Linked DNA regions of Astyanax mexicanus. The protein of the gene in region 2 interacts with the protein of the main gene of each other region in a pairwise test. Links are inferred from orthologs where the notes say so. Each region holds a gene or a part of one and is shown on either strand. Other genes may lie near its edges. The genes, in order: aig1, rchy1, klhl41b and gorab.

Region 1 (7,747 bases), on a different chromosome or scaffold from region 2:
TATATTTACTAGTTATTATTAAAACCTGATGCTCTGTTGAGTTTTATATACTCCACCATGCATCTTTCTGATTGCTCATCTCAGCAAGAAACATACTATTTATCTTATCCTAATTTAACAAAGCGATAAGGTTTACCTAAGGTGAAGGACAGGGTGTCTAGTGTTTGTGACCCACAAACCCAAAAGCAAACGTTATGACTGTAAAGCCCGAGAGCCTTTAATGGCTATTTAAAAGAAGCATGGATTTATTGGATTTAACTTAAATAAGGCTGTTTTTGTTTGGAATTAGAGCACAGTGGTACGCTGCAAAAACACAAACTGGTCACTTGCGCTATGGCAAAAAGAATAAACGCTCCAAACAGAAGTGAGTTTACACAGAAGTGTCTAGACTGGAAATGTAGACCCCGGAAACAAGAGAAAGGTCTATAGTAACTATATAGTGTCTGACAGCACTGAATATAAGAACTCTTAATTAATTAATTTTATTAATTAACTCTTTAATAAAATAATAAGAATTTTGCCCAACTGTAAGGATTTATTTTACTTCTAAGGATTATTTCTATTTAATGTTATGACACACGTCACCTTTTGAACCCTAAAAGAAGGACTCCAATTCTCTTTAAAAAAAAATATATGTAGATGAGTTTGCATTAAGCTTTCAGTGTGTGTATTACATCAAGTGCTGCACTCACAATTCTGGAAAGTCTTACACAGCTCCCCACAGCTAACCACAAGCTGCAGAGTGCCCCTGCACTCTGGCAGACCCCAGCAAAAACCCACAGTGGCTGAAGGGCCTACGCAGCAGTAAGCAGGTCTTATGTTTCCTTTGCATTTTCGATTGCTTCACATGATACCTGGGTCAAGTTAAACAAACCCCAAGTTTTAAACATTTGAAAATGAATTACATTTACACATATAGTCTCAGCAAACCTATTCCAATGTTTACATATCTTAACTATCTAAGATACAGACCAGGTAATATATTTGTTTTTAATGAATTGGGAAGCTATTTGGCAGACAGACTTTGCTAATGAAACAGTCTAGATGCATAATACTGATTAAACGGAAGCTGTTAATTCAACTAGTATGTTGGCTCATCAATTAGGTAAATTAGGGTCACAAACCTTAATGCAGTAAATGTTAAAAAAAAAACAGTTTAGTACTAACCTGTAAGTGTTGTAACAGTAAACATTGAGAGTGCAGACATTTCTGCAGGGCCGTGTTTCTTACAGTAAAACTGTCAATCTAATAGACAGCATAAAAAAACAGTTGGCAAAGGTTTTGATTTAGTTTTCTATGTTTTGTCATACTATTTGCTTACACACATTATATGATGTGTATCGGTTAATGTCCAGTTAATCATTTCCTTGCTTATCAGTTACCAGATTTAGCAAGGAAAATGACTAAACTGTACTGAATAATGGCCCTCCAGGAGCAAAGCCAATGACATTTCATAGTAAGTTAGAGTTTCACTTCAGATTTGTTTTGTTTGTTTCAATGTCTTCTATGTAGGACCACACAAACATGATATTGATAAAAAAATCATCTGTACCTTCCTGTACATATGAATTACACAATGCAAAGCTATACTTGGGGCCCTATTTAGCGATCTATGGTCATTTGCGCATCGCACAGCTTGATGCATGCTAGGCCATCTTTATGTAGAGCAACACATTTTTCTTTGCCAGAGTTCTTTGCCATAAGGTGCCATGTTGAAATTCCAGTCACCAGTACGAGAGAATATGAGAGAGTGAAAACACCAAATTTAACTGCCCTGCTCCGCGTTCACACCTGATACCTTGCATCATTAACAAGTCATATGACACTGGAAAGGAAAAATGGCTAATTGGGCAAAATTTGGCAATTGACACTTTGTACTCAGTTTGTTGCCAGTGGTTTAGACATTAATAGCTGTGTGTTAAGTCAGGAAAAGCAAATTCACACTAGTTGTACACTGATTACTTAACATTTGTATTAATATGTCATATCTTCTGTGCTGTCTCATAAAAAGATATAATTAATTATTTACAAAAATGTGAGAGATGTAATTCTGAGAACTGATGTGTACATTATGGTCATTATGGAGTTATACTGGTCATCCATCACTGACTTAGTGGAGCACAGGTCAGAACCCTGTAATCCTCACTTCTCTAGCCACTTAATCGCAGGGACGGAGAACTGTTTGTCGGTGGGAAAGGATTTTCCAGAGCATAAACCTCTTGGCACCCTTATCATGGTGCAGTGCAGATTATAACAGGGGGCAGAGTTTAGCCCACCACTGCCTGACATCTTCCAGAAAGTGATGCACTCAAATGGACAATTATGGATTACATTCCTGCCATGCTTCGAAATCACAGTGAAGAAAACTGGAGAATGTCTCTGATGAGTTATACTAAGGTGCATCATGTGCTTTGCTGTTTTGAAGAGATGGTGGAATAACAGTGTATCTTTGATGCTTATCTGCCATTGCCACTTCTCAGTGTCTTTGATTTATCAGTGTATTTATTAAAGCAACAGTAAAAGATGTGTGTGAAGTGTGATCATGTCAGTAAGCTTGTCTTGGATTGTGCACTTTTTGGAAATGCATCCAGGGTCCTTTTCATTTTGAAGGTCATTGAAGTCATCCTTTTAATTTTGTAGTCTTCCATCTGATACATGTTGTAAGACATTCACAGCCACATGCATTTCAGGGTGGTTCAAAAGGAAAAGTGGACACCAGACAGATCTAAGAATGTGGAAATCTTTTATGTTTTTCTAAACCTAACCTTGGACCTTGACCTCTCTTAACAAAAGGAATTCTTGGGTTGTTTTATTTATTTATTATTTGCAATAAAATATTCATTATTTTCTAAAACTCTTCATGGTGAACAGTAAAATGTCTCTACTCTTCACACAACCACTTAAAATAGATTCGTTCTGTGGTGCATTTTCTGTGTCATGTCTGTATAACTGTAGCTATACTTATCTTTTTTCAGATAACAAATGCACCTTTAGTAAACAAATATGAAGACAGCAAAATGTACGGAGAACACCTGTCATTTATTTAAATGTGTTTATTTTTAGGAAATATTGGAAAGATGGGGAGATCATCCATAGAAGGTCATTCACTTGCAGATGGAGTTTCTTAAACTGAAAATTATTTAAAGGTAACAGACTCCTGACAACCATGATCAGCATCAGACCGGCTCCACTAGATGAATAGCGCTTTCATCTTTGAAAAAAAATCAAGCTTCACACTTTAAATCTGAAAAAAGAAGAACATTTACATTCTGATGCTGCTCATCTGCAGTATGGAATATGACGCATATGTATCATTTGGAAATCTTTTTTTGTAGGTAACAGAACCATGTCTACAAACATACCTCAAGCTAGGTGTGAGATTAGTGCAAGTTTGAACGTATAAAAACATCTGGAGCTTTTTAATAAAGACATCATGAAGGTTACGCTGAATTTAAGCAAACTTTTATTGGCCGAAACCATAAGAAAAAATCTACATCAAGATAATGACCCAGGCACACTGCTTAGAATATCAAGATGTTTGTATCAGAGTCAGATCTTATCATCACGTGTTTGGGATTACTTTGGAAGCAGAGAAGCAGAAAATGCTCCAATTTTTAAGGACTTTGTATGTGTGGACAATTCTCTGCAGATTTCTGTTGTATAGGGGTCTACAGTCTGCACAGAATGAACACTGTAATAATGTAAAGGTGGACAATTTAAATGGTTATACACTGAAGCTTCTGTCTCATTTCTTGTTAGCTGCTAAAAATAACATGTCTGTTTGACTGGGAATAAATAAATGTCTCTGACTTCTGTTCTTATACAGAACATTTTTTTTTATTTTCCAGAGAGAAAAAAGGGTCAAATATGTTCCTTACAGTGAATTTCTGGAAATAGAGAAAACTGGTTTTATTGGGTGTGAGTAAAAGCAGTTATAAGCAGTCATTTCTTACTTTTAGCAATAATGTATCCAGGATAAGAACTAGAGATGTATTCTGTACTTAAGTACTAAAATGCTGTATCTGTATCTACTGGAGAATTATTTTACTTTACTACTGTACTTAAGTATTAAAATGCTGTTTCTGTATCTACTGGAATATTATTGTACTTCACTACTGTACTTAAGTACTAAAATGATGTGTCTGAATCTACTGGAATATATATATTTCTATCCTCCACTTTTACTTCACTACATGTTTGATGAGTTTAATACTTTAACTCTGCTATAAAAAATATAATTAACATTGTACTGCTTTCTGTAATAACTAAATAACACATTAATGTACTTTTACTTTTAGTACTTTAGTATTACATTTTACAATGAACTACTTGCCATACATATCTACAAAAAAATTGAATACTTTAGTACTTAAGTGTGGAGCTTAAAGAACACTTTAACTTCCAATAAAATCACTTTGTTTTACTCAAATCTGGATCTCTAGTATTTTATACATGCCTAAATAAAACCCCATATGTTTTACTGAACAGTATTTTCTGTGTTCGAACAGTTCTTTTCTTGTTTATGGTAATATGTTAATATGTGTTTGAAATATTGTTTTGTTTGTTAAATGTATACTGGTGTCGTGTGCTGTTAGGCACAGTGTTATATGTTTTATGAAAAAGAGACCCTGTGTGTTGTATTATTAAATACGGGCATCTATGGACAACCGCACAAAGCGCAACCGTGCAAATATCGCGAGATTACAGGCAGCGTCAGCTTCACCGTTACTATTAGCAACATCCTCCCTCCCTCCCCCTCTCCGCCGCGCGCATCTTTTACGCCATCACCTCCTCCAGCATCTCGTTGAACTGCGACCCCATCCTCCTCCTCCTCTTCCAGGCGCGGCGCGTCCACAGGATATTATTATTATTATTATTATTATTATTATTATAGTGGGACGGACAGGCGGCGCTGGGGAAGATGGCGCTCATCCCTTCCCAGATCCTGAGAGTCGCGATCCTCCTATCCTACTTCTCCATCATCTGCAACTACAAAGCCATAGACATGCCGGCGCACCAGACATACGGAGGCAGCTGGAAGTTCCTCACCTTCATAGACTTGGTAAGTGGTGCTGCTTATCTGAGAAGCTTCTCCTCCAGCCTGATTGATGATGATGATCACCCACCGGGGCAGACGCCTCTCTCACTCACACACACACACGCACACACACAGCCGGCTCGAGCTGACACTCAGCTGATCCCCCTCACTGAGCCACTACAGACCCCCTCCTGCACCCAGTGATCCAGAGCAGAATCAGGGGAGATCAGGAGGACAGATCACCTGCCTCAGCTCTACTCCAACCGGCCCAGTCATATCAGCGAGCCGATCCCCGGATCAGGCCCGGGTCCACCTGCTTCTGGTATCAGGACCCGATCTCCTGTTAGCACTGAAGCCTAATGTAGGTCAGGTTGATTACCAGGGCCCAGACACGCGCATGCGCACACAGGACGTAGCCGCGTAACTGGCGCGACTGATGTTTTGTCAGTGCGAGCTAATGACTCATGTTTTCCACATAAACGGCTCGTTTTCTCCACTTTTACAATGATTTTAATAGAAGTAAACCAGCAATAAACTTGTTTTCTTATGTTCTTATTGGCACATCTATTCTGAAGTGCCACAATAATAAACGAGCACAGAGCTGAGTAGTAACTCCTAGTAGAGCTTACTCACTTCACTATACTCCTTCACTATTCACCATATAACATTCGCAATATAGTGATTAGGGAACAAACAAACAACTTGTCAAGTTTACATCGCGCATAAACAACACTACCGCGCTGCATTATGGTATACATCAGAAATTTAAGCGTACATCGTCTATAAACAACACTACTGCGCTGCATCATGGTATACATCAGAAATTAAAGTTTACATTGCGCATAAACATCACTACCGCGCTGCATTATGGTATACATCAGAGATTCAAGTTTACATCACGCATAAACATCACTACCGCGCTGCATTATGGTATACATAAGAAATTTAAGCGTACATCTTCTATAAACAACACTACTGCGCTGCATTATGGTATACATCAGAAATTAAAGTTTACATCGCGCATAAACATCACTACCGCGCTGCATTATGGTATACATCAGAGATTCAAGTTTACATCACGCATAAACAACACTACAGCGCTGCATTATGGTATACATAAGAAATTTAAGAGTACATCTTCTATAAACAACACTACCGCGCTTCATTATGGTATACATAAGGAATTTAAGCGTACATCGTCTATAAACAACACCACAGCGCTGCATTATGGTATACATCAGAAATTCAAGTTTACATTGCGCATAAACAACACTACCGCGCTTCATTATGGTGTACATCAAAAATTCAAGCGTAAATTGTCTATAAACAACACTACCATGCTGCATTATGGTATACATCAGAAATTCAAGCGTAAATCGTCTATAAACAACACTACCGTGCTGCATTATGGGTGTTTAATAGTAAACTATATAGGGAATAATATGTAATGGTGAGATTTTGAACAGCACTACAAAATTGTGGGGACACTATACAGTGCACAGCTCGAGTTTGGGACTGGCTTTATGTGCAAGGTATGTATAAAAGGTTTAACTACTGGCTTAATCAAAACCTCTCTCATTCATTGCAATCACATCCCTGAGAGCAAAAACTTTAAATAAACGTTCACTTTTTGGCTGCATTACATGTTTTTAATCTTTATTTAACATTACCTACTAGAAATTGGTTATTGTTAAAGTTCTGACATTACATCAATGTTCATTTATGGTTTTCATCAAATGAACTTTGATTACGTGTACCTTTATATATGTAATAACATTGATCTCTGATGTCGGAATTGATGCAGAAAAGATGCAGAACTTGCTAATTTTCTCCTAAACAGGTAAACACTGAGCTACAATATCTGTGTTAATCTGAAGTATGTTATCAGGATCTAAAATGTATTACTCCAGATTGTGTATTTTTAAAGCAGTGGTGTTTTTATTTTCAGAATAATAGACTTATCAAGCTCCATAATATAGAGTTTATATTGTGTAAACCATAGAAAACATTGCAATATATATACATTTCCTAATCTACTTGAGTATGAGTCATAGTTGCTTGCTATAGCAAAAGTTCTTGAATCTGTCTTATGCTTGTTTGTGTTGGTTCCATGTTCTTAATCTGGCAACATATGTGAGTTTTAAATCTGGGTAGGTTGGGATATGGCAGTGTTTTTAAACTGGACTCTGGTAGCCATTCTATACACTTGCTATCATTTAGTACATATTGTTCCTTTAAGAGTTAAATACTCTAAAGCTAATTTAATGTTTTTGAATATGCTGTCTAATGTCTCATATAGGGGTGTGCCATATCGTATCGTACATGATAATACCGCCAAAAATTTTGAATATCGTGAACAATATCATACCCTGAAATATCGTGCTATGTCCCCCACCCCTAATTTTCACATCATTATCACATTTTACTTTTATATCCTGGATATATGGAGTTATTTGTAGTGCATTATTATTAGTATCATGACATTCTTAATCCATGACTTCTGATACAAATCTGATAAAATTCTTCTCAGTTAGCAATATCATATTGCAGGCAATAATAAAATACTAAATAATTGTTCTAATTCAGTGTTTTGTCATATCGCCAAAAGTATCGTTATCGTGAAAATACCATGAAATATCGTGATATTATTTTAGAGCCATATCGCCCACCCCTAGTCTCATACACTGGCTTTATGTTCATTTTGATGAG
Region 2 (6,883 bases):
TTTATAATCATTCCTGCATTTATTGAGATGACTAAAAAAAACACTTTATTTAATGGAGTATTTATGTTTTTTTAATGAATCTGCTGCTACTAATGCATTTTGTTTGCATGTAAAAATATGATATTTTACAGTGAAAATCTATTAAAGTATAATGCTAAATTGCTTTATCACATACTGTCCAGCCCTAATTTAAACAATAATAGTTCTAATAGTTAACCGTCTTTACCTGCTGAACAGCGTGACACACTGCACACCTGACCTCTTTAACCTGAAAGCGGTCCATCTGATGATTCTCCTCAGCATCATGGCAGAGTCTACACACGTAAAACTTCCCACAGCAGGGCGCCTGAGGAGACACACACACACACAAAAACTATAATTATTAGTTTTGATTAACTACTAAAATTTCCCAATTGTGTATTTTGGGCTATATATCTATCTATCTATTGTAATGACTTACACACAGTAGCAGTCAACCGTTTGGACACGCCTTCTCATTCAATGTTTTTTCTTTATTTAATTTATTTTCTACATTGTAGACATAATAAAGGTACATGTGCAGAACTACGTAGTAAACAATAAGAAAAGAGTAAAGTATAAAACATATTCTGGTTTGTTTAACACTTTTTGTAAAACTTTAAAATAGTCTTCAATATTAAATTTATAATGTAAAAAAACTAACTGAAAGAGAAAAAAAATGTGTGTACTTCTTGCTGTCTTATATTTAATTTGTTTTATTTATTATGTATGTGTGAAATGAGAATGTTCCTCATTTAGTTAAGACTAAATACCCAATTCAGCAATAAGGAAAATAATAAACTAGCCAATTTTAACACAAATATTAAAACTTTTTTTGCATTTTGGGACTTTTAACACCTTGCAGTCATATATTTAGCAAGCTAGTGCTGGACGATATGGCCAAAATTTATATCACGATATATTCCTTAAATTTCGGTCGATACGATATAATTTCGATATCGATAAATACTTTGAAGGCCTCAGAAAAAGAATCCCTGCAATCTCTGCAGCTTGCACTGCAAATTTAAATTATTATTTAACTGTGTATTTGCACTTTTTGTATCAATCTATCTAATGGAAATCTGTACCTACTACTGTATGAAAATGTTTTTTAAGTCTTTGAAACCTCCTTTCACAAAAACTTTAATACTTTAGAAATAAAAGTAGTCAAAATAAATCAATGCTCAATTTTATTTGCATATAGCAAAATAATAACATGACATCCCTGTCAAACATAAGCCTATATAACTATTACAAATAAAAATAACTTTAAATGACAACAGAGGCAGAGCTTCTTATTCATTGTAAACAAATTTAACAGATTAAAACAAAAGTGTTTTAACTAGGATATATAATACAAGAAGCCTTTATATACATAAAAGCAACAAGATTTTCCCGTCAAATAAACAAACCTATAGGATTTTTCAACTATAAATAACTTAGTGACAACATAATCTATTAAAGTGCTTCAGCCAGAATACAAGAGGTATTCAACATGATATCCACGTCAAATAAACAAACCTAAAGGATTCATAAACTTTAAATAACTTAGTTTCAACATAATCTATTAAAGTGCTTCAGTCAGTATAAGGAAAATATTGTATGTAGTGAAGATGCTTGAGGTGGTGGAACAGATTAGATGTATTAACGTTACGCTGCTTGTCGGCTCCACTCACCGGCACAATTTGCAGCAAAGCGGCAAGCGAGCGGACCCGCGGCTGGGCGAGCGGAGCCGCGGATGAGCGAGCGGAGGCGCGGATGAGCGAGCGGACCCGCGGCTGGGTGAGCGGAGCCGCGGATGAGCGAGCGGAGGCGCGGATGAGCGAGCGGAGGCGCGGATGAGCGAGCGGACCCGCGGCTGGGCGAGCGGAGCCGCGGATGAGCGAGCGGAGGCGCGGATGAGCGAGCGGACCCGCGGCTGGGCCAGCGGAGCCGCGGATGAGCGAGCGGACGAGCGAGCGGAGCCGCGGATGAGCGAGCGGACGCGCGAATGGGCGAGCGAAACAGCGGCTGACCGAACCGAGTCTACCCTAGCCTTGGATCCGCTCGTCCCGGCTCCGTTTCGAGACATTTTAGATGCGTAGCGGAGCGGACCTGAACCTAACCTAGCCTAGCCTAGCCATTTTAACCTAGCCTAGCCTAGCCTATCTGGCTACGTGCCTGTGTGATTGCGTCATCACGCACTGAGGTAGCACAGCTATGGGGGCTGAATGTGTTTGGCTCTGCGGCGAGCTGACGCCAGTAAAAAACGCCTGTCCGTGACAGATTCTGTACATAATACATATCGATATACCACAAAAGTGATATCACCGTTATTGAAACATTTCTTATCGCGATAAATACCGATATCGAATTATTGTCCAGGCCTATAGCAAGCTATCTTTATCTGGACCATATAAATATGGTTTATTTTTATGATTTTAATATGTTTTATAGCAGAGAAGTCACGTAAACAAATACCTTTAACTAATGTTAGATTACCTGTGCAGCAAAGATATGCTCAGTGTAGCCAGATATGCTCACCAACTCCACATTTATTCATGTTAATCTCAGGTAAGTTTAGTTAAACTCGGATTATTCGGGTTTAAATGTGCAGCAAATTCTTTTAATCGAATTTTTTTTCTTTATTTTATAATGTTAACCTAGCCAACTCGCTTATTTTAGTAATTTCCCTACAGAAACACACTGCTGATGCTTACCCAGCTAACTAGCTTAGCTTAGCTAATTCCCTACTAGAACACACTGCTGATGCTAAACTAGCTAAGTTAGCTACCAGGCTAGCCGGCAAACTGCGGACATTCAGAGCGAACTGAGGATATATATCAGATTTAACGCGTTTTTTTCTGCTGTAATATCAGTGTAGAAATGTACCCAGCTGCTTATTAATCATAAACAAGCGATAATAAATAAAATCAGGACTTACTTTCAGCAAACAGCTCCGAACATAATGCTCACAGCCCGCTTCTGCAGCCATGATTACTTATATAGCCCCCCCCCCCCCCCCCCCAACTTTATTTAAACCACAGACACACACAGCGCTGAGATTCACCTCATAATAAACATATATACAGCTCTGAAAATAAATAAGAGGACTCTTAAAAATGACGAGTTTGTTTTATTTTACCACATTGAAAACCTCTGGAAAATAATCAAGAGGAAGATGGATGATCACAAACCATCAGACCACCAAACTGAACTGCTTGGATTTTTACACCAGGAGTAAAGCAGCATAAAGTTATCCAAAAGCAGTGTGTAAGACTGGTGGAGGAGAACATGATGCCACGATGCATAAAAAAACTGTGACCAGGGTTATTCCACCAAATATTGATTTCTGAACTCTTAAAACTTTATGATTATGAACTTGTTTTCTTTGCATTATTTGAGGTCTGAAAGCTCTGCATCTTTCTTTGTTATTTCAGTCATTTCTAATTTTCTGTAAATAAATGCTAAGTAAATGAACAGTGAAGTGATCCAGTTATCATGTCTTATCTGGGAACTTGCGGTTTCTGAGGCTGGTAATGCTGATGAATTTATCCTGTACAACAGAGGTAACTCTTGCTCTTCCTTACCTGGGGCAGTCCTGATGAGAGCCATTTCCATCATCAGAATGTTTTTTGACTGCACTTGATACTGGATATTTTAAAAGTTTTTAAATTGACTGCTGCCCCTCAGTCCTGCTGCCCCTCAGTGCTGCTGCCCTGGCCTGTATAAGAATCGGGCTATTAAAGGCTTAGTCGGAACCTCCCAAAACACAGAAACCTGGACTCGGGCCTGGAAACAGTGCAGCTCATCCTTGTGTAACTGGCAGCGGGTCGATGTGTAAACAGGGATTTAATACTGATGATTAAACAGCTTTATCTGGAGTACAGGAGCAAACTGTACGCAGACTCACACTCTGCTTCTCATCGTTACGATCCGGTCAACATCGATATCGTAAAGCATGTTGTTTTATGTTGCAGCATAGATTAAATTTCATTAAACTCTGTGTAACATCTTTCTTCAATTTATACTGTTTTCTTCCCAGGCCACTGTTAGGCTTCTACGAGATGGCTGCTCTGGTATCATAAGTGGTTGCCAGGGTGTTTCTAGGCAGTTTATATGAGGTTCCATGATGTTGCTCTATGGTTAATATTATGTTCCAGTCCACTGAAATTATTTAGTTAGGTGGTTGCTGGGGTGTTGCTACGGAGTTTATATTATGTTCCAAGCTGTTGCTGGATTGTTATTATGATGTCCCATGCCATTACTAGGATTTTGTGAGATGGCTGGTCTGTTATCATAAGTGATTGCTAGGGTATTGCTAAACAGTTTATATGATATCCCATGGCACTGCTAGGATTTTATAAGGTGGTTGCTCTGGCATCATAAGTGGTCATCATAAGCTAAGGTGTTGCTTGCAAAATGGCTTTGCTGGGTGGTTGCTTGGGGGACAAGTCATGATTGTAACAATACAGTCAGGAAGAATTTCCAGTTTCCATACCTTTTCCTATTAGTTTCCATATATGTTGTGAGACATGAACCCTGGGCCCACCTCATTGCCTAGCCTCAGCTGAGCTTTAAAGCATTGCTGGACTTAAAGCTTGCTCATTAATCCCCAAGAAATTACTAAATATCCGAAATCCTTATATTTTGGGGTCTTAAGCCTTTGAGAGCTCACACACAATTGATCCCACAGTGTCATAATAAAGATACTGAACTGGTGCATTTGTTCCCTCAAGATACAAACAATAAACATACAAAGTCGTAAAGCTCCCACTATATAAAGGTTTACTATCTTTAATTTTGGGTTTGCTAGTAGTTCTTCTTAGCCTGTACTCTTGCCATTTTCTCAAGCACCTGTTTGATATTTTTATGACATCACAGAAGAACACAGCACACTGAACTACTGAAAACAAGTCTAAACTGTGGACTGTAGCCATAAATATCCTCAGTCCTTCAGTAGATGGTCAGGGGGTGACTGGGACAAATCTCAGTCCAATCTGGACTTCAGTAATTAGGGGAATCTTTGTCCTTTAAAAGCTATCAGGCAACAGGTGGTGCAGAAGTTACAGCAGATGGGGGTTCATGACCTACTGACTGAGGCATTAAATCCCCATTGAGTACCTCCGAGATTCAGAATATTACCTCACCCTTTCAGACTTTAGCATTTCGGGTTTCCCTGGAATTATAGTAACAGTTATATACACCATTTAGCAGATAATGTAGCTAACAAGCAATCTTATGAAACCTTCTGTACTTAAGATATTATGTAACTTCAAATCTCTGTCTAGCATAGATCAGAATTTAGTGTCAGGTTGGGCTTGTGTCTGTGTTACCTTCTGGCTCTCTCTCCCTTTAGTTAGCTAAAGCTGTTATATTTGCACTCTCAAATAATCTGATCACATTCTCTGTAATAAATAGTTTAATTTCATCACTTTAGTCAATGGTTTAAAAATTAATGTTCAACCTAACACTAATAGATCTCTTTAAACATTGGGCTCTCCTGTCATCCACCACAGACTGCCTGCCCATTTGCCTGGGACTAGATGCCCAACCTCCACTACCAACATCTAATTTTGTAATTTCTGTGATTTTTGTTGTTATTATTATCATTAATACTACCCATCATTACTACTTTCTTATTCTAGCCATCTATATCCTTGGTTGCTGATGTTTTTTATGGTTTTGTAATATTTGATCTTTTCTCTTATGACCAACTCCATAAATATATTTTATTTTAATACTGATTTGAGTAACCCTGTGTTCTAACCACTAAGCTACTACCATGGCCTGGTAAAACCTTAGAGAACTTTGGAACGTCCATTAATTTGAGTAATGAAAGGGCTTTCCTACACAGTTATAGAAACTCCAGGAGCAAGGAATCCCGAGCTACGTCAGAGAGAAGGGCAGTGGCTTACAGGAGGATAATTAGCATTAGCATTTAAAAGGTACAACAGACTGTTGGCTTGGAGTCATCACTGCCACCCTGCTTCCTTCTGGCCTTCTCCTGCTTTAAATATGGCAGCATTAAGACTCTGTAATTCTCCCTCGCAAGCACCTTTGGCGGGAGCACCGAGACCAGATGGAGCAGGCAGAGATCACAGAGTGAGCCATGTCTAGAAGCTTCCACCAGGTCCAGGACTTCTGCTCTCACTGGGACCTGACTAAAAGTATCAGGAAGGTTTCTGTCCAGTATATTTTGATTTATTTAACCTTCTATAGGACATTTTTGGAGGAAAATGTGCTGGGAATTCATAGACAGCGTAGTCTTGAAGGTCTCTTTTCTAGGAACTAGCCTGGATGCTAGTTTTGATGCTCCACATGATGAATGAACGGAGGTCCTGACTGTAGAAGACTTGCAGGATGTTCCGAAGGCAAAGTCTCTTCCCTGGTGCCAAGATTCCATCTGAACAGGAATCCAAAGACAGTCTTCTCCCATTTGCCAAAGACAATGCGTTCAAGCAGTGGAGCTCTCTGGGTGACATTTATGATCTTTACGCTGAAGATGAAGAGGAGCAAGTCTTCAGCAGGTCACCAAACCCTCGCTTTCACGTTCCCTCACCTATGAGAAACCGCATCCTCAACATCAACGTTGGAGGCAAGTTGTACCAGATTTCCTACAAGATGGCCGCAAGGTTCCCCAAGAGTCGGATTGGCCAGCTGGCCGCCTGCACAGACCCTGGAGCGAAGCTGGACCTGTGTGATGACTATGTGGTGCAAAATGACGAGTATTTCTTCGACCGGGATCCAAATGTCTTCAACAGCATCTTCAACTTCTACAGGACAGGGGTCTTGTGGATCAGGGATGAATTGTGCCCCAGGAACTTTCTGGAAGAGATCGGATACTGGGGGGTTAGGGTAAAAACTGCGCCACGCTGTTGCCGGA
Region 3 (7,660 bases), on a different chromosome or scaffold from region 2:
AGAAATCGTACCCCTGGACCCTCGCTGTGAGCTGACCCTAGACCAGGGTCCATGCCGTGAATATAATATCCGCTGGTATTACGACAAGCAGGCCAACGCCTGCGCCCAGTTCTGGTACGGAGGCTGTGATGGAAACCGGAACCGCTTTGATACAGAGGAAGAGTGTAAAAAGACCTGTGTGGTCTCACAAGCAGGTAATTACTCGCATTTAAACATACAGTCACAATTTTACCCTTAATCTTAAAAAAGTACACCATATAGTTGAATAAATGTCAGCATGCACGCACATCATAATCAAATTACTGAGTAATCCAATCATTGGGTTTACCTAAATTTGGTCAATGATTGGATTTTTGCTTTGTAACCAGCCAATAACTTCACAGAATAAGACACAACATAAAAATCATGTAAAAACTCAAAATTCACACTGAAATTTTATCACATCAAGCTTTAATATGAACATCATTTCAGTGTCACTCTATTTGTGGTACCATGCTCTTTTCTTTTACATGTGCAAATACTGATTATAATATTCACTCTGGTTCAGAGTGTACATGAAGTGAAAAAACACAATTACTGAACAGAATTTCAGCTCTCTTTATCTTATTTGTAATCTATTTATTTTTGTTATCCAGTTTTATAGAAACATTTGCAAAAAAAAAAGTGAACAGACATTGTTTTACTGTCCTTTTTTAATTCCCATCCAGGCTCTCCATATTTAATTTTTTTAATCGGATTTTTGTTTAACGAAAACTGCACCAATCTTACTTACTTGATGTAACTGGTTATCATCAGCATCTACAAATATACTGTATAATTCTCCCTGGTTTGTTCTCACAGGAGGATGATGAACACAGAAGATCTTTGTGATAGAAGATTGACTGTTGTTGGATTAGTATCTGTAATACCTCAACGATCGAGCTCACTGAGAAATGTGCACATAATTGCTGAAATACTGTATGTTGAGTATTTCATTGTACTGCATCAGTGACTTGCTGTGTAAATACTTAATTTTCTTTATTAGCCAATTTCAATTCAAGTATATTTTAGCTCCAGTTGTATTTGTTTTCCTGTTCCTATTCATTTCTAGTCCTTTTTTAGTGATGTATTCCACAACCCACTTGAAACAGTGAGACAGTGAATGTCAGAAGAGTTATTAAAAACCTGCTTCTTATTTGGGAATTGTTTAATTTATGGGGACAATGGTGTCCTTCATTGTCTTTATAATTGTGTCCTAATAGAAAGCAGCAAAAGCCTAATTTAAGAGCACAGAGTCAAGTGAAGGGTTCATCCTCACATATTCAATCCGCCCAGATCTCAGATGCTATGGATTGACTTGAAGAGAGATGTACTTCTAAAGCATCCAAGGGATATGAGAGAGCTAAAGCAGTTCTGCAGGAATAATGGGCAAAAATTTAACGAAGTGCAGATCTGATCCACAGCTACAGAAAGTGCCTGGTTGAGGTTATTCCTGCAATTTTTCCACCACCACTTTTAGTGTTGAATGAGTCATCAAAGACCTGCAACATCATATATATATATATATATATATATATATATATATATATATATATATATATATATATATATATATATATATATATATTATTTTATTTTAGCACATTATATCTGTCAATATCCTTAACTTGAATGATCAGTCCACATTTTATGAAAAATGTATGCATAAACACATGAAACTGCAAAGGATTCACATACATATTTTACTTTCCACTGTATATGGTTGGATATCCCCCCAATCTGCTTATTTTCAGAGCTTGAGCCCTCCCCGCACCAACCCTCTGACTCTTTAATGCAGTTAAATTAGTTTTACACATCAGAAACATCATATTTCCATATTATGTCCTCATTTGGAGATACTGCTGTATGCAATATTAGACTTAACTTTTGTACTGATCCAACCCTACAGTGCCTCTGTGTTTAGAACCAGGCCACTGACGAAGGGCTAAAGGACTAGTGCAATCCATCAACAGATAGGTTTGCTACAGTCTCTAAATGTACATCAGGATATAAACTGAACACTGATTGTTTGACGGGTGCATTATGTATTTAAGGCCATTACCTGATTTGTTGTGAACAGTTGCTATTGTATAATGAACACTGTCAATACTGCAATTTTATGTTTTTGATGTTAGGACATCCTTTGATATTTCTTTATAGGTTTTGTATCATTTTGTGTGTTGTAATCCAAGTTTAATATAGCATACTTTTTTATAAAATAAAAAATGTTACTGAAAAATTATGTTTTACCTTTTTGAACATTCTCAGCACAATGTAAAATAATTTGTCTGATGGCAGTTTAACTGAATATGCAGAATACCGCATGCCTGCCCATAATTAGGCACATGCTGCTGTTTTATGTTAGGTTTATCGGGTTAATTAGAGTTTAAGCACCAAAATAGTTTTTTTATATGACTGAAAATGGTTATTCTATGCCATCACTCTTTATTTTAAAAGAATGTATCTTGGGGTAGCGTAGGACAAGAACATTTAATAGCAACTCTAAATCAAAACGTTTGGACAGTATGATTTTTTTTCCCCCACTATAACGGTTAGTTGAGCCAGTTGGGTTATTTTGCCTGGTCATTTACATAGTGCTGGGCATAATCAAAAATTGGATAAAGTTGGGACAGTAGGTAAAATGCAAATAAACAAAATAAATGCAGTGTTTCTTGCATGTGGTTTGGATTTAATTTTTATCAATTCATAAAAATGCATATCAAAAGGTGATTGTAATCACGATTTGGTCAATAATGAGCAGATAAATTAGTAAAAATAACACAAACTCATACTGTTAAACAAGTGGTATATGATTCTCTGTTACAATTTTTTTTTATGTTTTGCAGGCCTAAAACACATATGCATTTGACATTGTATCCAGCATGCTGGAAATAACAGAGCAAAATAAACCAACAGGCTCAAACCAGCATTAGAGTAGGAAAAAAATAACCCAAAAGCTTTGTTCAGCTGTTGTAACTATTCATTTTGGTCAACAACAGCTTACTAAGCCAAGCTCACTGATTCACATGGTCAGTTTTTTACTGCGTCATCTGCTGTGTGCTGGCTAACAGACGACGCTCACTCACTTACTCTTACACTCCCCTATTGGCATCATTCTCTCTGTGATTGGGGGGGTGAGGTGGGTTGTGTGTGTGAGACAGAGTACCCCCCTCTGTCTTTCGCGCTTTTGACTTAAGTTACATATAACTACCACACACACACACACACACACACACACACACAGGCCTGTTTTAATTATAGTACTATCTCCAACACAACACACGACCCTCTCACTCTAAACTGTTTTCCATGAAATCATAAGATCAGATTCAAAATAAGACTGGAATCCGGCTTCTAAACCAGATTTGTGATTATTATAGTCTATATCAATCAAAGTTTATGATTTGGAAAGAAATATTTTAAATATTTGAGTGTCCTGTAAACTTTGAATATATTTGTGCCATAATTACAGTTCCTATAGATATGTAACATGAAGCATAGAAGCAAAGAACAATAATGAGGTTCCAGTGACTCTAAAACGCTTGATCAAGAGTGTGTGCATGTGTGTGTGTGTGTGGAGGGGGTGGGGAGGGTGGGGTTGGGTGCTGTCACCTGTTGTAGCAGCTGCTTCCCATCACTGTCACTCTGATCTTAGATGTGCTACCATTCACACAAACACACACACACACACAAATGTACAAGTAAAATACATACCACCGAACAAAACATTATACATCTTTACAATGCAACTTCAGAAATGTTATCATGTGAACTTTTACAGAAGTACAAATAGGTTTTATAGATTTAGATAAAATTTTATAGATTATAGACACATTCAGTGTCATATCATTGTAATTGTGATAAGTATGATTCAGCTCATTAAAGCATAAATGAAGAAGAAATTGGAGGCAAAGTTAGATTACCAAGATGAATATTTTTTGATCCTCTATTTTTCTATTGATTTTTTATTTATTTATTCTGTTATTTCTGTTTATATTCTGTTTTTATTCTCTTTTACTTAACATAGTCCATCCATGCTGCTGTTTGCCATGTTTGTGCCATTCAAATTAATGGGGAAAAAATTAGGAATGTATACTGAACGTGTGTGTTATTGATTATGTAAATTGTTAGAGCACATAAAAATACAATATTTACAGCAAATTTAACTTCTCAGAACCTCTAGTTTTTTTCTGCTGCTGGAACAGCTCACTCAATTTATATCGCCAAATTAAAGTTAACAGTTCTTTGCCAAAATAAAATGGAAAATGTTTAACGGAAAATTTATAATACCTGTATTAGGTAGTGCCTTGCGGAACTTAAAAAGGTTAAAATATTGTTATAATTAAAAGACTCCTGATTAATAAATTATTTAGTAGAATTTGTAATTTAATGTATTTCATTATGTGTTAATATTAAAATATTACACAAAAACAGTGAAACACAGTTTTAAACTTAAGGGTTAAATCCTGGTTAGGCCTCTGCAGCCTGTTTTACTGTGACAACTGCTGTCATTGCACTCCCCCTACTCACAGACGGACAGGGGGAACAGGGGGAGCTGCAGAGGGGAGGAGGGTCCAGCCCAGGTTAAATTTAGAAAGCCCAGATTAAATAACAGCTTTTTCAAGCTGCAGATCTTTTTGGTGGTCTGTCCTTTTCCAGCCAGGACTGTGTGGCAAGCAGAAGCCACCCTCTCTCCTCTCTTTCTTCCTCCTTTCTTCTTTGTCCTCCACCACTTACCCTCCTATCCACTGCCATGGATCCCAAAGCACTGAAGGAAGAACTGCGGCTGTTCCAAAGCACGCTGCTGCAGGACGGCCTGAAGGAGCTGCTGAACGAGAACAAGTTTGTGGACTGCACTCTGAAAGTGGGTGACCGCTGCTTTCCATGCCATCGCCTCATTCTGGCCGCATGCAGCCCCTACTTCAGAGAGATCTTCTTCTCTGAAGATGGAAAGATCAAAGAAGACCTCAAAGAGGTCGCCGTGGATGACGTTGACCCCAATGTTCTGGACATGATCATTAAATACCTCTACTCTGCTGAAATCGAGCTGACCGATGACAATGTTCAGGAGATATTCGCAGTCGCTAACCGCTTCCAGATTCCCTCTGTGTTCACGGTTTGTGTGAACTATCTGCAGAAGAAGTTGTCCATGGTCAACTGCCTGGCCATCTTCAGGCTCGGCCTGATCCTCAACGTGCCCAGGCTAGCCGTATCTGCCCGCGATTTTATTGCGGATCGCTTCGAAAGCCTGATGGACGAAGAGGAATTCCTGCAGCTGGCGCCTCATGAACTCTTTGCCCTCATTGGTGGAGACATGCTGAACGTGGAGAAGGAGGAAGTGGTGTTCGAGTCGCTAATGAAGTGGGTGCGAAGCGACAAGGAGAAGCGTGTCAAGTCTCTGGGTGAAGCCTTCGAATTCATCCGCTTCCGCCTCTTACCGGAAAAGTACTTCCAAGAGAAAGTAGAAAACGATGACATCATTAAGGCCGATCCAGAACTCCTGAAGAAACTGCAGGTCATCAAAGATGCCTTCAAAGGGAAACTTCCCGAGATGAAAAAGAAGGAGAAGAAGGAAGGAGAGGTGAATGGAGAAGAAGGAGGAGAGGAGGAAGAAGAAGAGATGTTGCCAGGTTTCCTGAACGACAACCGCAGGCTAGGGATGTATGGGCGTAATTTAATCCTCATGATTAATGACACAGCGGCGGTGGCGTATGACGTGGTAGAAAACGAATGCTTCCTGGCGGCCATGGCCGAACAAGTGCCCAAGAACCACATCAGCCACTGCTCCAAGAGGAACGAGCTGTTTGTCATTGGTGGTCTGTTCGTTGACGAAGACAACAAAGAAGCACCACTCCAGTGCTACTTCTACCAGGTAGGTCATAATATTTTAACTCACAGACAAAAGAGTGACAATTGTGGAAATTTCCTTGCATTTCTATGCAAAAATTACCTTGTACAACGACACAAATAGTACCACATTTCCCCATAGATGTTTTCTTGCTGATTTATCTCAAAATGTATTGTTGATCATTCAAAAACCTCTGTTGAGTTGGATTTTGTACAGTGTAAAAACATTTCATTTGTTTACTTTTGTGCAAATTGCTGTATGTGTAGAGAATACAGTGTTTTAAAGGATCAGGGAGTTAAATAGTCAAATATTTCCCAGGTCCAGAAGGTCTGGTGTCATGGTGTGGGGTGCAACTTATGGCCCTATGACTTTGGCGCACTAATCCATTAAGACAATGCTCGTCCAACTGCTGCAGACTCAAGAGTATGCCACATTGCCAGACATAGCTCTGAATGAAAAGAGGTGGGATACCAAATATTCAAAGCTCTATTGGATGGATTACCACAGAACACCATTAGGAACCTCTACAACTCCAAACCCAGATGTCTGCCATCTTGTGATACACATGCATACACTACTTATATATGTGTAGCTCAATATATATGACAAAGTGTTTCCGAAATCAGTAAAAAAAAGCATTGCAATTTGGCACTTCTTTCTATGTGCAACTATTCTATGTGTATTTTTGCAACCATTTGGATAACTATAGATAACTGGCACTGAAAATAAAGTGAAATCACTAGCGTTACTTCATAGCAGTTTCCTAAGATGCGGCGCTGTGTTATCTAAAGAAACACAAAGATCAGATTGGTATTGGCTGACAATCAGCACAAAAATACTTGGATTTGATCAGGACGTCAGGTTAAGTAAATAATAACATACTCAGTTTGCAAAGTGAGTCAACCAACTGCATGAAGAACAGAAATCTAAAAGTCAGTTTGGCTTATAAAAATTATCATCTGTGAGACCGCAAAACTATCATGACCAATTTTGTCTAATTCATAAATTCTGTTATTCAACAGAACAATTCTAAAAAAATGTTTTAACTGTATTATTGATATTAAAACACTGACTAATCAGTTGTGATTTTATTTCAGTTGGACAGTCTTACATCTGATTGGGTAGCACTGCCACCCATGCCAAGCCCAAGATGCCTCTTTGGTTTGGGTGAATATAATGGTCTGCTGTTCGCTATCGCTGGTAAAGACCTGCAGACCAACGAGTCCCTGGATTCTGTAATGTGTTACGATACTGAGTGAGTAACGTCAATCTGTCATTCTCCTATCATTCTCTTATTGTGTCTTTCAGTTAGAAATGTATACTATCCCAAAGTATTTAGATATCTGCTCTTCTGAAATCAATGGGGATAAAAATGAGCCTATTCTACTTGTGTTGTGAATTTGCAACTTTAAAAGTAGCCGAATGCATTCATAATAGGGGTGTCCACAAGCATTTGGACAAGCAAATGGAATGCAGAGTACTAAACACATTGACATGTAGTCATGTTGTAGTTTGTTTAATAATGTTGCCAAAACTAGTTATTAATTAAAACTATATTAATTCAGCTGTGAATAAGCTGTGGTTTATTTTAGTGTTTTTCCCATTTATATTCTTTTTCATCATTCTTTTGTCTACTTCTGCTTAATGGAAATTTTATCATATGTCATTTTTACAGGAAGATGAAATGGAGCGAGACAAAGAAACTTCCACTCCGCATCCACGGCCATTCAGTAGTCTCACATAATGGCCTGATTTATTGCATTGGAGGCAAGACAGATGATAAGTAAGTGTGTG
Region 4 (8,013 bases), on a different chromosome or scaffold from region 2:
GTAATGCTACAGTAATGCTTTCCATATATCCAGGATGAAATAGAACCAAATAATACTGGATATTTATAATCTGTTTGTAGATGGATATTTAATGGTAAACGAGAACAGTGTGATTTTTTTTTGCTGCAAACAGCTAAAAAGAAGTAATGGCTATTTTTTTAATAATAATATTCAGTATTAATTTTGGCAATATTATTGTGTGTGATGTGATATGGCACACCCTAGTAGAAAAGGTTTGATATTTCTAACCTTTTCTTATTTTTGCCTAAAATGTGAATTCTGACAGTATGCACTCATACTACCTGACAATACCATTACCTAAAAACTGAACGATTACCATAAAATCTGTGTCAACTGTGACATTGACAATATATTGTTACCATGCTAAGGAATACTCCAGACTGGCTTGTTCAATCAGCTTCCTCAGAATCGAGATGTCATTTGAAACGGAATCATCCAAGACCTGGAGCTCCTTCTGAATCTTCTTCAGCTTCACAGCTTCTGCTTGTGTCTGCTTAGATCTATGGAACAAGAAGTTCTGCTTAACAAACTAAAACAATCTGTACAGGTTTCAGCTGATTTGGGGCACCAGATAATTCTCAGAAATGGATGTCATTAGTAAATTAGTGTGTTGCTCATACTTTTCAGCGATGGTCTTAGCTAGGAGTGCTTTCCTCTTTTTATTCTTCTCTTCCATCACCCGCTGCTCCCACTGAAGCTGCTGTAGACGAGTCTTTTCCCGTCTGAAATAAACAACAAAAAATTTAAATTGAAGTACTGCATGTACAATCCAACAAGGGGCAGTTCTGCACAATTTACACTTTGCAGTTACCTCATCTGAATATAGCAATCAAGCTGTTAAATTCTTCATTATGTAAATTTAGTGTATATTACTACTCCATTCCTTACACATTTTTTTTCTGTGTTTCATAATCGTTCACATTTTTTTCCTATTTTATGGTTATTTGACATACTTTCTTCATATATTATTATTGCTTCATGTGAGCAGGCAGTTGTCAAAGCATTTCAATGCTAGTTGAACTATAAACATTTTGATTGACGCAGTTAATAAACCAATCTTACTGATTAAAAACATTTACATTAAAGGCATAGTTTACTACTTTATTTTCTTTTTTTACTCATTTCTGTCACTCTCTGAAAAGGCACTAGACTTACTAACAGTTCCACTTCCACTTTGTCCAGCTCCTTGATGCTCTCTGCTGCATCCTCGAGCCGTGGATCTGACTCATGCTTCACTTCACCCGGCTCTGGCAGCTTCGACTCTTCGCTTCTCTGAGCAGATGGTTTGCTCTGAACTGTTTGGTTGAGGTTTGGGCTGGGGCTGAGATTGGGGACATGGCTGAGATTGGGGACATGGCTGAGATTGGGGACATGGCTGAGATTGGGGACATGGCTGAGATTGGGGACATGGCTGAGATTGGGGACATGGCTGAGATTGGGGACATGGCTGAGATTGGGGACATGGCTGAGATTGGGGCTGGGGCTGGGTGATGGAGGAGGTTTGAGCTGCTGGTCAGGCGATAGTGGAGATCCATGGCAATCTTTCTGTTTAGCGGCCAACTGCAGAGCTCTTTCCCGCTGCAGCTGCTGCCTGCTCCGATTAGTGGGAGCAGCTCTCCGCCCTCGTCCCATCACAGCGAGGACAGCAGGATCACCTGTTCAGACAAACCAGACAACATTTATCTCTGTAGCAAACAACAGTATATTTAAATTCATTAACTCAGATAGAAGTATAGATACTAGTGGTTAAAAATACCAACTTACTTTAACCTTTTGACTCTTAAAGTATAAAAGAAAAAGTATAGTAAATGAAATAATGCCATTAAAGACAAAAGGACAGGCTGCACTACAGGGGCTTATAGTGCACCACCCACCACCCTGCCCAAAACACATTTTTCTAAAAGACATGACGACTATAATGTTATATTAAAATGTTAATGTGAAATAAATTGGGATGCACTACGCCCCTTGTTTTAGTTGCATATATGACCATTGAAAAGAAATGTATTTGAGTACAATTTATTAAAGAAGCTTAGTTGGGACATTTGGCTAGAGTTGTCTTGAGTCTCTGCACGGCTCATCTTCATACTAGGCTACTATTATCTGCTATGTTCTTGCTGGAGTGTGGGCAGGTGTGATAGATTGTATAAACCAATAGGACTGTTTTTATTTCTCAGATTTTATTTATCAGACTCACTCTATCTGGATGAATAGATTTATCTAGATAGCTTTTTTGACATTGAGGAGCTTGAGAAGGCTATAAAACAAAGTAAAAGTAAAAAGTCGTCTGAAAAATAAATACTACAGTAAAGTTTTAATAGCCAAAATGTTTACTTAAGTTTCTTGACAGATCTGGCAGGGAACGCGAGATTAATTGATTACATAATTAATTAATTGAATAACAGTATGTAAACGATACCACATTAAAGGGTTATTTGGAATTTCCTATTTAACATTCCGTTCCACCTTAAAATGTACAGTAGCTGAACATTGATCATACAGTCCCTTGATCATACACGCTGCAGCATTCAGTTAAGGTGGAACGGGAGGGGCTAACTTAATGCTAAATGCTAATGCTTCAAGCTAACTTCACAACATGTAGCTGTTTAGCTAATTAACGTTAAACTGGAAGGAATCGTACTGTAGGCTACACACGGTTTGGTTTAGAATAATAAAGTTTCACGGGCGTGTTACTGGATTCACTATGGTTATTTTACTGGTTTTGTGCTGAAGCTCCAGGATCAGTGGGGCTCTGAGCGGTAGCTGCAGTGAACTTACTGGTCTCGCCTTTCTGCTGTAATCTCCTCAGCTCCTCATCTGAAAATCCAGCCCACGCGGCCATTCCTCACCTACAGTCTGTCCGTGCTGATTCAGAGAGTTCTCACACTCACACACCGCATCCCCGCAGCTCAGACCCGCAGCTCTCAGCTCTCCAACACCCAGCGGACATGTCTGTGTACAGACCTGCCACGTCCAAGACCTGCCGCAGGACCCACAGGAGGAGACTGATCTGTTCCCCGTTCAAAAAAACAACCAGACTGAGTTCTCCTGCGATTATCCTGATTATTCTCTTCTCGCCCGACTAAACTCATCATCATATTTAAATATATAGAGTTTAAACAAAGCCCGTTTTTACTTGATAAGATTAAGGTGTTGAAGGACAGGCAGTGTGCGGGAAGGCACGACAGTCCTGCAGGCTGTAGTCCGGATATATATCACCCGCATTCCTGAGGACTATGGCTGTGACCGAAATGGCTCACTATTTACTAGTTAGGGCACTATTGAGTATGTCAGCCATTTTTCTTTGAGTGTCCGAATCTTAAGGGGGGATTCGAACGTGATTTTGAGGGCACTAAAAACTCCCATAATGCATCATGATTTATAGTAAACTTCGCTGCTTAATAAGCGAGCTGAATGTGTCCCAAAATGCATTGCGGGTCTCGCTACTAAGCAACAGACAGCCGAAGAAATGGAGCGGACAGTAGAGGTGGGCGATACCGGGAATTTTGGTATTGATCCGATACCAAGTAAATGCAGGGCCAGTATTGCCGATATCGATACTGATACCGATACTTTTTAATATTTAAGCTTTATAGATCCAAAAACCTAGGATATAATTTCACCAAACATTGTAAGTGATAACAAAATACTTTAGTATCACAATCAACATTTTTTGTTTAGAAACAATGGAACAGTAACAAAACAAAGTTTAAATATAAAGTAAAAAAATATTAAAAAATAAAATAAAAATTCTCCCCTCACTAGACATCTTAAGTTCTTTCTTTTTTTGTTTCTTTTTTTAAATAGAATTGTCATTTGGAAAAACAATAAAAAATAAGGAATTGTCTTCCTTTCAGTGCAATTCAAATGCAAGTTTTTCTTAAATCCGCCCACCTCTAGCGGACAGCGAGCCACCAGGGTTGCCAGATTGTTACAATGGGATTCAGATAAAACCAATTCACAGGGTAAAACGTGTTTCAGATCCACAAATTTACTGAGAAAACCACCCAAACAGCTGATATTCGTCATATTAACAATATTACAGGGTTTATTCCAACATGATCTTAACTAAAATATCATAAATATCTTAAATATCACTGTTACAAAAAATATATTTAAATGAGTTTATCTGCATATTTGTATTATGTGTTTTTTGCCTTGTATCATTGGACACACGAAACAAAAACGTAAAAACAGTACATAAAAACAACCTTGCAAGCAATGAAAGAATGAAATTACTTACTTACATATAATAACGAATATAAACACAACTTCAAATTTCCATCAGTAGGACTAAAAGCTCTGACTTTGCAGGGTTAGATATCTAACTATAACACCACCGAGTTAAATTTCCAAACTCTTTACACTTGGTAGTTTTGTTCACCTGTCAAATCACAGCGTTTCCCCCAGACAATTTCAGATACAACTCGACATTTGGCATGATACCACCCAATCTGGCAACAGAGCGAGCCGGTGTACGCTGCTATTTTTAAGGTTTTCTTCATGACGTTCAGTAATGTGAGCAAGGGCGTAGGAGCGGGCTTGATATTGGGGGGGACACATTTGCCAATATGAACCCAAGCCCACCCTATAGTTTCCTAGAACAACGTTTGTGGAAATTACTTGAAATTAAAAGTAAATTATTATTATAAGGTGATTTTACAACCTAAACAGGTTACTCCACGTACAGTTACTGTTGTTAGAAAAAAATATGCATGCAATGTCTGAATTATATACATATGACAAAAATTATCAGTTATCACCTAATATTTAAAATAATATAACAGATTTGGTTATTATTATTATTATTATTATTATTATTATTATTATTATGTATTGGCATGTCAATTCTGTCATATATTTACATTTTCTCCTGCGCTTTTATTTTTTTTTCTACTGAGAGCTCTTCTTAAGATGGTGTCCTTTTATGTAAAAGAATGTAACTTTACGTTGCATAGAGATTTTTATAAACATCAGGACATGTGGTCTTACTGTGAACTACAAATGAACAGAAGTCACGTTACAGCAGTATTTCTCAACCCTGTTCTTACATATTCTACTGCATATTAACACTGTTCTGCATGTTCTTGAGCTTCCTCTGCTTTAAAGGCATTTAATAAAGTGGTGGTATGATGTGTCTAATACACTGCTGGATTTACATGATTAATTTAGGCTCCATAGGGGGCTAAAGGATTTTAACAGGTAAACTCAGTAAATGACTGTTTATTAGCTGATCAGGTGGAAAACACAGATTTAGGGCAGCGATCAGGGTTAAGAAACTGCTTTAAACTACAAACATAAAGTACTGTACTAAATCCTGGCTATCCATGTAGCTTCTAGTTAACTAGTTAGTTAAATTCATTTTCGTTCATTATAGCTCACACTAAGTCCTGCAATCCTAAATTAATAAACAGTTTGAAAATGAAATAGTGATTAGCTGATCAGGTACAGGTCAAGTTGAACATTACATATATATATATTTTTCTTTAACCCTGACTCCCTATCTAATTAATTTAAATTAAACTAACTCACTAACACAGCTGCAGTTTATTAAGAGCTTCACTAACTTTAATTCAGAGCTCAGTTCAGTGTGTTTATGGAGTTTTAAACACGACTCAGCCCTCTCTCACCTGTGTGTGTTTATGCGAACGGTTCTGGCGCATGATAATGATGAGTTAGTGTCCGAATTCACTCCTGTTTTACCACTAATTGGTGAACTTATTAGTATCTCCCTACATAGCGCAACACTAATGAGGTAGTAGGGAGCCATTTCGGTCACAGCCTATACCTCTGAGATTCGATTTAAGATTGCGGTGACATCATGTAAAAAAAAAAATAAATAAATACGTGGCCGCGACTTATTAAGACGTGGGAATGAGATACCAAGGCGTGGCCACAACTTAAGAAGGTGTGGAAATTAGATAATTAAGGCTTATGAATGAGATAATTCATGGCCAAGACTTATTAATGCGTAGGAATAAGATCGTAAGGCGTGGCCAAGACTTATTAAGGCGTGGGAACTAGATAATAATGCATGGGAATTAGATAATTAAGCCTTGTGAATGAGATAAATAAGTCATGGCCAAAGACTTATTAAGGTGTGGGAATGACTTATTAAGGCATGGGAACTAGATAATAATGCGTGCGAAAGTCACTATACATACAGTAATTTACTACTCTAGCTGCAGTGGAATTAGTGTGTAGCTAATAATTTAGGAGATAGTGTAGGCTTTGATTCATAGTAGCAAATTTGTCTCGCCCAGTGTTAAACCCCCAATGTTGAACACCCCTGAGTGGAAACTTTGTTTGGTTTGTTTTGGGCTGAAATTCTGACGAACAGTCTGACTTGGCAATTTTGACCAGTTGTTTCACTTGTAAACTTTCTCACAAGACAATCCCATTTATATCATATTCTCTATTCTTTACAAATCATTAAAAAATGTATTTATTGAGTGTTATTGGTTTAGTTATTAAATTATATATATGTTTAATAGTAGCCAGGAGTAGGCAGAAATAGTGTGTGTTAAATCAGTGTTTTTCAAATACAGTTCTATTTTCAATCTGCGTTTATGTCAGTTTAGAGCATACTATATCTGTGTATTCTGAGTATTTTGTGTTTGTCTATATAGTCCTACTAAGAAAATGATGTAGATGTAAATATTGTATAGAGAGTAACTAAATGTTTTCCTCACTTGTCATTAAATAATATTTAATCTTAAGTGAATACTGCTGACATGAACCAACTAAAACATTAGCTTAATTGTTCATTAAAAATGCAATGCAAAGTAAGTTTTTGGCTTTTAAATAATGGTAATATAAGAACATAGGTATAATGACTATGAAGGCACTACTTAAATCAATTATCCTGAGTAGATTTTAGCTTTTAAATAAGGCACATTTAAGCAATTCTCCATCAGTTTGCCTCAATAGCAGCTTCAGCATTCCACCTGAACAAGCTTTTAAATGTCAGGAGAACATTTTCCTCAGTTTGTCCTTTTGTATAGTAATAATGTAAGGTCAACACACAGCATGGGGTAGGTAAAGTCAATGTGAAAAACATGTTGCACAATTAACAAGAATGAAGAATGTTACTAATTGTACCTGTTTTTATTCAGTGTTAACAATCTGAAATAAGCTATTATGAGACCTTTAAAGGTCAATGACCTTAAGTGGTTTGTAGATTAAGTCAGGGCATGTTGTGCTTGAGTGTGTAAATATGTGTTTATGTCTTAAACAGTCCTTCAGGAAAGCAGAAATCAGTGTGCTGGAGCCAGAAACTAACTTTGTTTATTTGTTTCTATCTGTTACCCTCTTCACCTCCAGCCAGACCTCGCGCTCTTTCTCTTACGAGCGGAGAGGTTGAAGGTCAGTGAAACAGAAAGCTGGATGTAAACAGTGCAGGGCATGCCGTTGATATGGACCGTCAAACAGTCTGATCAAATGTTACTTTTTACTCTCAGGGGAGCGTCAGTGATTGTGACAGGAGAGAAGGCAGATGTCAGACTCTGTGAGGTCTAAGGAGAAATCATTTCTTCAGATCCAGTTCAGTGATCAGTTAGTATCTCACCTTATGGACAGACACACAAAGCAATGTCTGATTATTTCCAAAGCTGTAAAAACATTTAATTGTCTTCAGTTCATGATGTTGTATATTCTGAGTGTAAATGTAAATGTAGTGGAAGTGTGGAAAGTCTTTCTATACAGCACAGGGTTCCCTTAGTGTTGTAGGTAACATATCTTTTTAGCAGTTTAAACACATTTGCTCAGAATGCAGTGTAATTGCAGACGAATGTTTAAAATATTATTGTAAAATTCTCATATCTAAGTCTTTTATGATCTCAAAATGCATATTATTACAAATAATTATAAACTTATAAAATTTTCAAAAAATATTCAGAATGATAAACAGAGCAACGGATGGTTGTATAAAAAGAGATATCAATTAGAAATATATAGTTCAATATACTGTATGTCCTTGAAAAACACATTTTT

What was found.
Region 1: the proteins of rchy1 (region 2) and aig1 interact in binary tests that used the Homo sapiens proteins (3 or more experiments, as listed by UniProt). The link is inferred for Astyanax mexicanus from reciprocal best matches to the Homo sapiens genes RCHY1 and AIG1.
Region 3: the proteins of rchy1 (region 2) and klhl41b interact in binary tests that used the Homo sapiens proteins (3 or more experiments, as listed by UniProt). The two-hybrid records come from large-scale screens. The link is inferred for Astyanax mexicanus from reciprocal best matches to the Homo sapiens genes RCHY1 and KLHL41.
Region 4: the proteins of rchy1 (region 2) and gorab interact in a two-hybrid assay, tested with the Homo sapiens proteins (3 studies listed by BioGRID and IntAct). The link is inferred for Astyanax mexicanus from reciprocal best matches to the Homo sapiens genes RCHY1 and GORAB.

What each region holds. Positions count from the first base shown.
Region 1 is NC_064408.1:57,427,760-57,435,506, forward strand, and holds the start of aig1 (androgen-induced gene 1 protein), read left to right. Parts: upstream 1-4,736; 5' UTR 4,737-4,921; coding exon 4,922-5,062; intron 5,063-7,747. UniProt on the Homo sapiens protein: Hydrolyzes bioactive fatty-acid esters of hydroxy-fatty acids (FAHFAs), but not other major classes of lipids. Show a preference for FAHFAs with branching distal from the carboxylate head group of the lipids.
Region 2 is NC_064429.1:11,603,464-11,610,346, forward strand, and holds the start of rchy1 (RING finger and CHY zinc finger domain-containing protein 1), read right to left. Parts: upstream 3,017-6,883; 5' UTR 2,993-3,016; coding exon 2,942-2,992; intron 347-2,941; coding exon 227-346; intron 1-226. Other genes in the region: kcnv2b (potassium voltage-gated channel subfamily V member 2), read left to right, coding at 6,361-6,883. UniProt on the Homo sapiens protein: E3 ubiquitin-protein ligase that mediates ubiquitination of target proteins, including p53/TP53, TP73, HDAC1 and CDKN1B. Mediates ubiquitination and degradation of p53/TP53; preferentially acts on tetrameric p53/TP53.
Region 3 is NC_064412.1:53,827,669-53,835,328, reverse strand, and holds the start of klhl41b (kelch-like protein 41b), read left to right. Parts: upstream 1-4,644; 5' UTR 4,645-4,771; coding exon 4,772-5,890; intron 5,891-6,963; coding exon 6,964-7,121; intron 7,122-7,541; coding exon 7,542-7,649; intron 7,650-7,660. Other genes in the region: col28a2b (collagen alpha-1(XXVIII) chain), read left to right, coding at 3-194, 841-848. UniProt on the Homo sapiens protein: Involved in skeletal muscle development and differentiation. Regulates proliferation and differentiation of myoblasts and plays a role in myofibril assembly by promoting lateral fusion of adjacent thin fibrils into mature, wide myofibrils.
Region 4 is NC_064408.1:60,386,542-60,394,554, forward strand, and holds the start of gorab (RAB6-interacting golgin), read right to left. Parts: upstream 3,010-8,013; 5' UTR 2,864-3,009; coding exon 2,800-2,863; intron 1,677-2,799; coding exon 1,181-1,676; intron 744-1,180; coding exon 642-743; intron 522-641; coding exon 381-521; intron 1-380.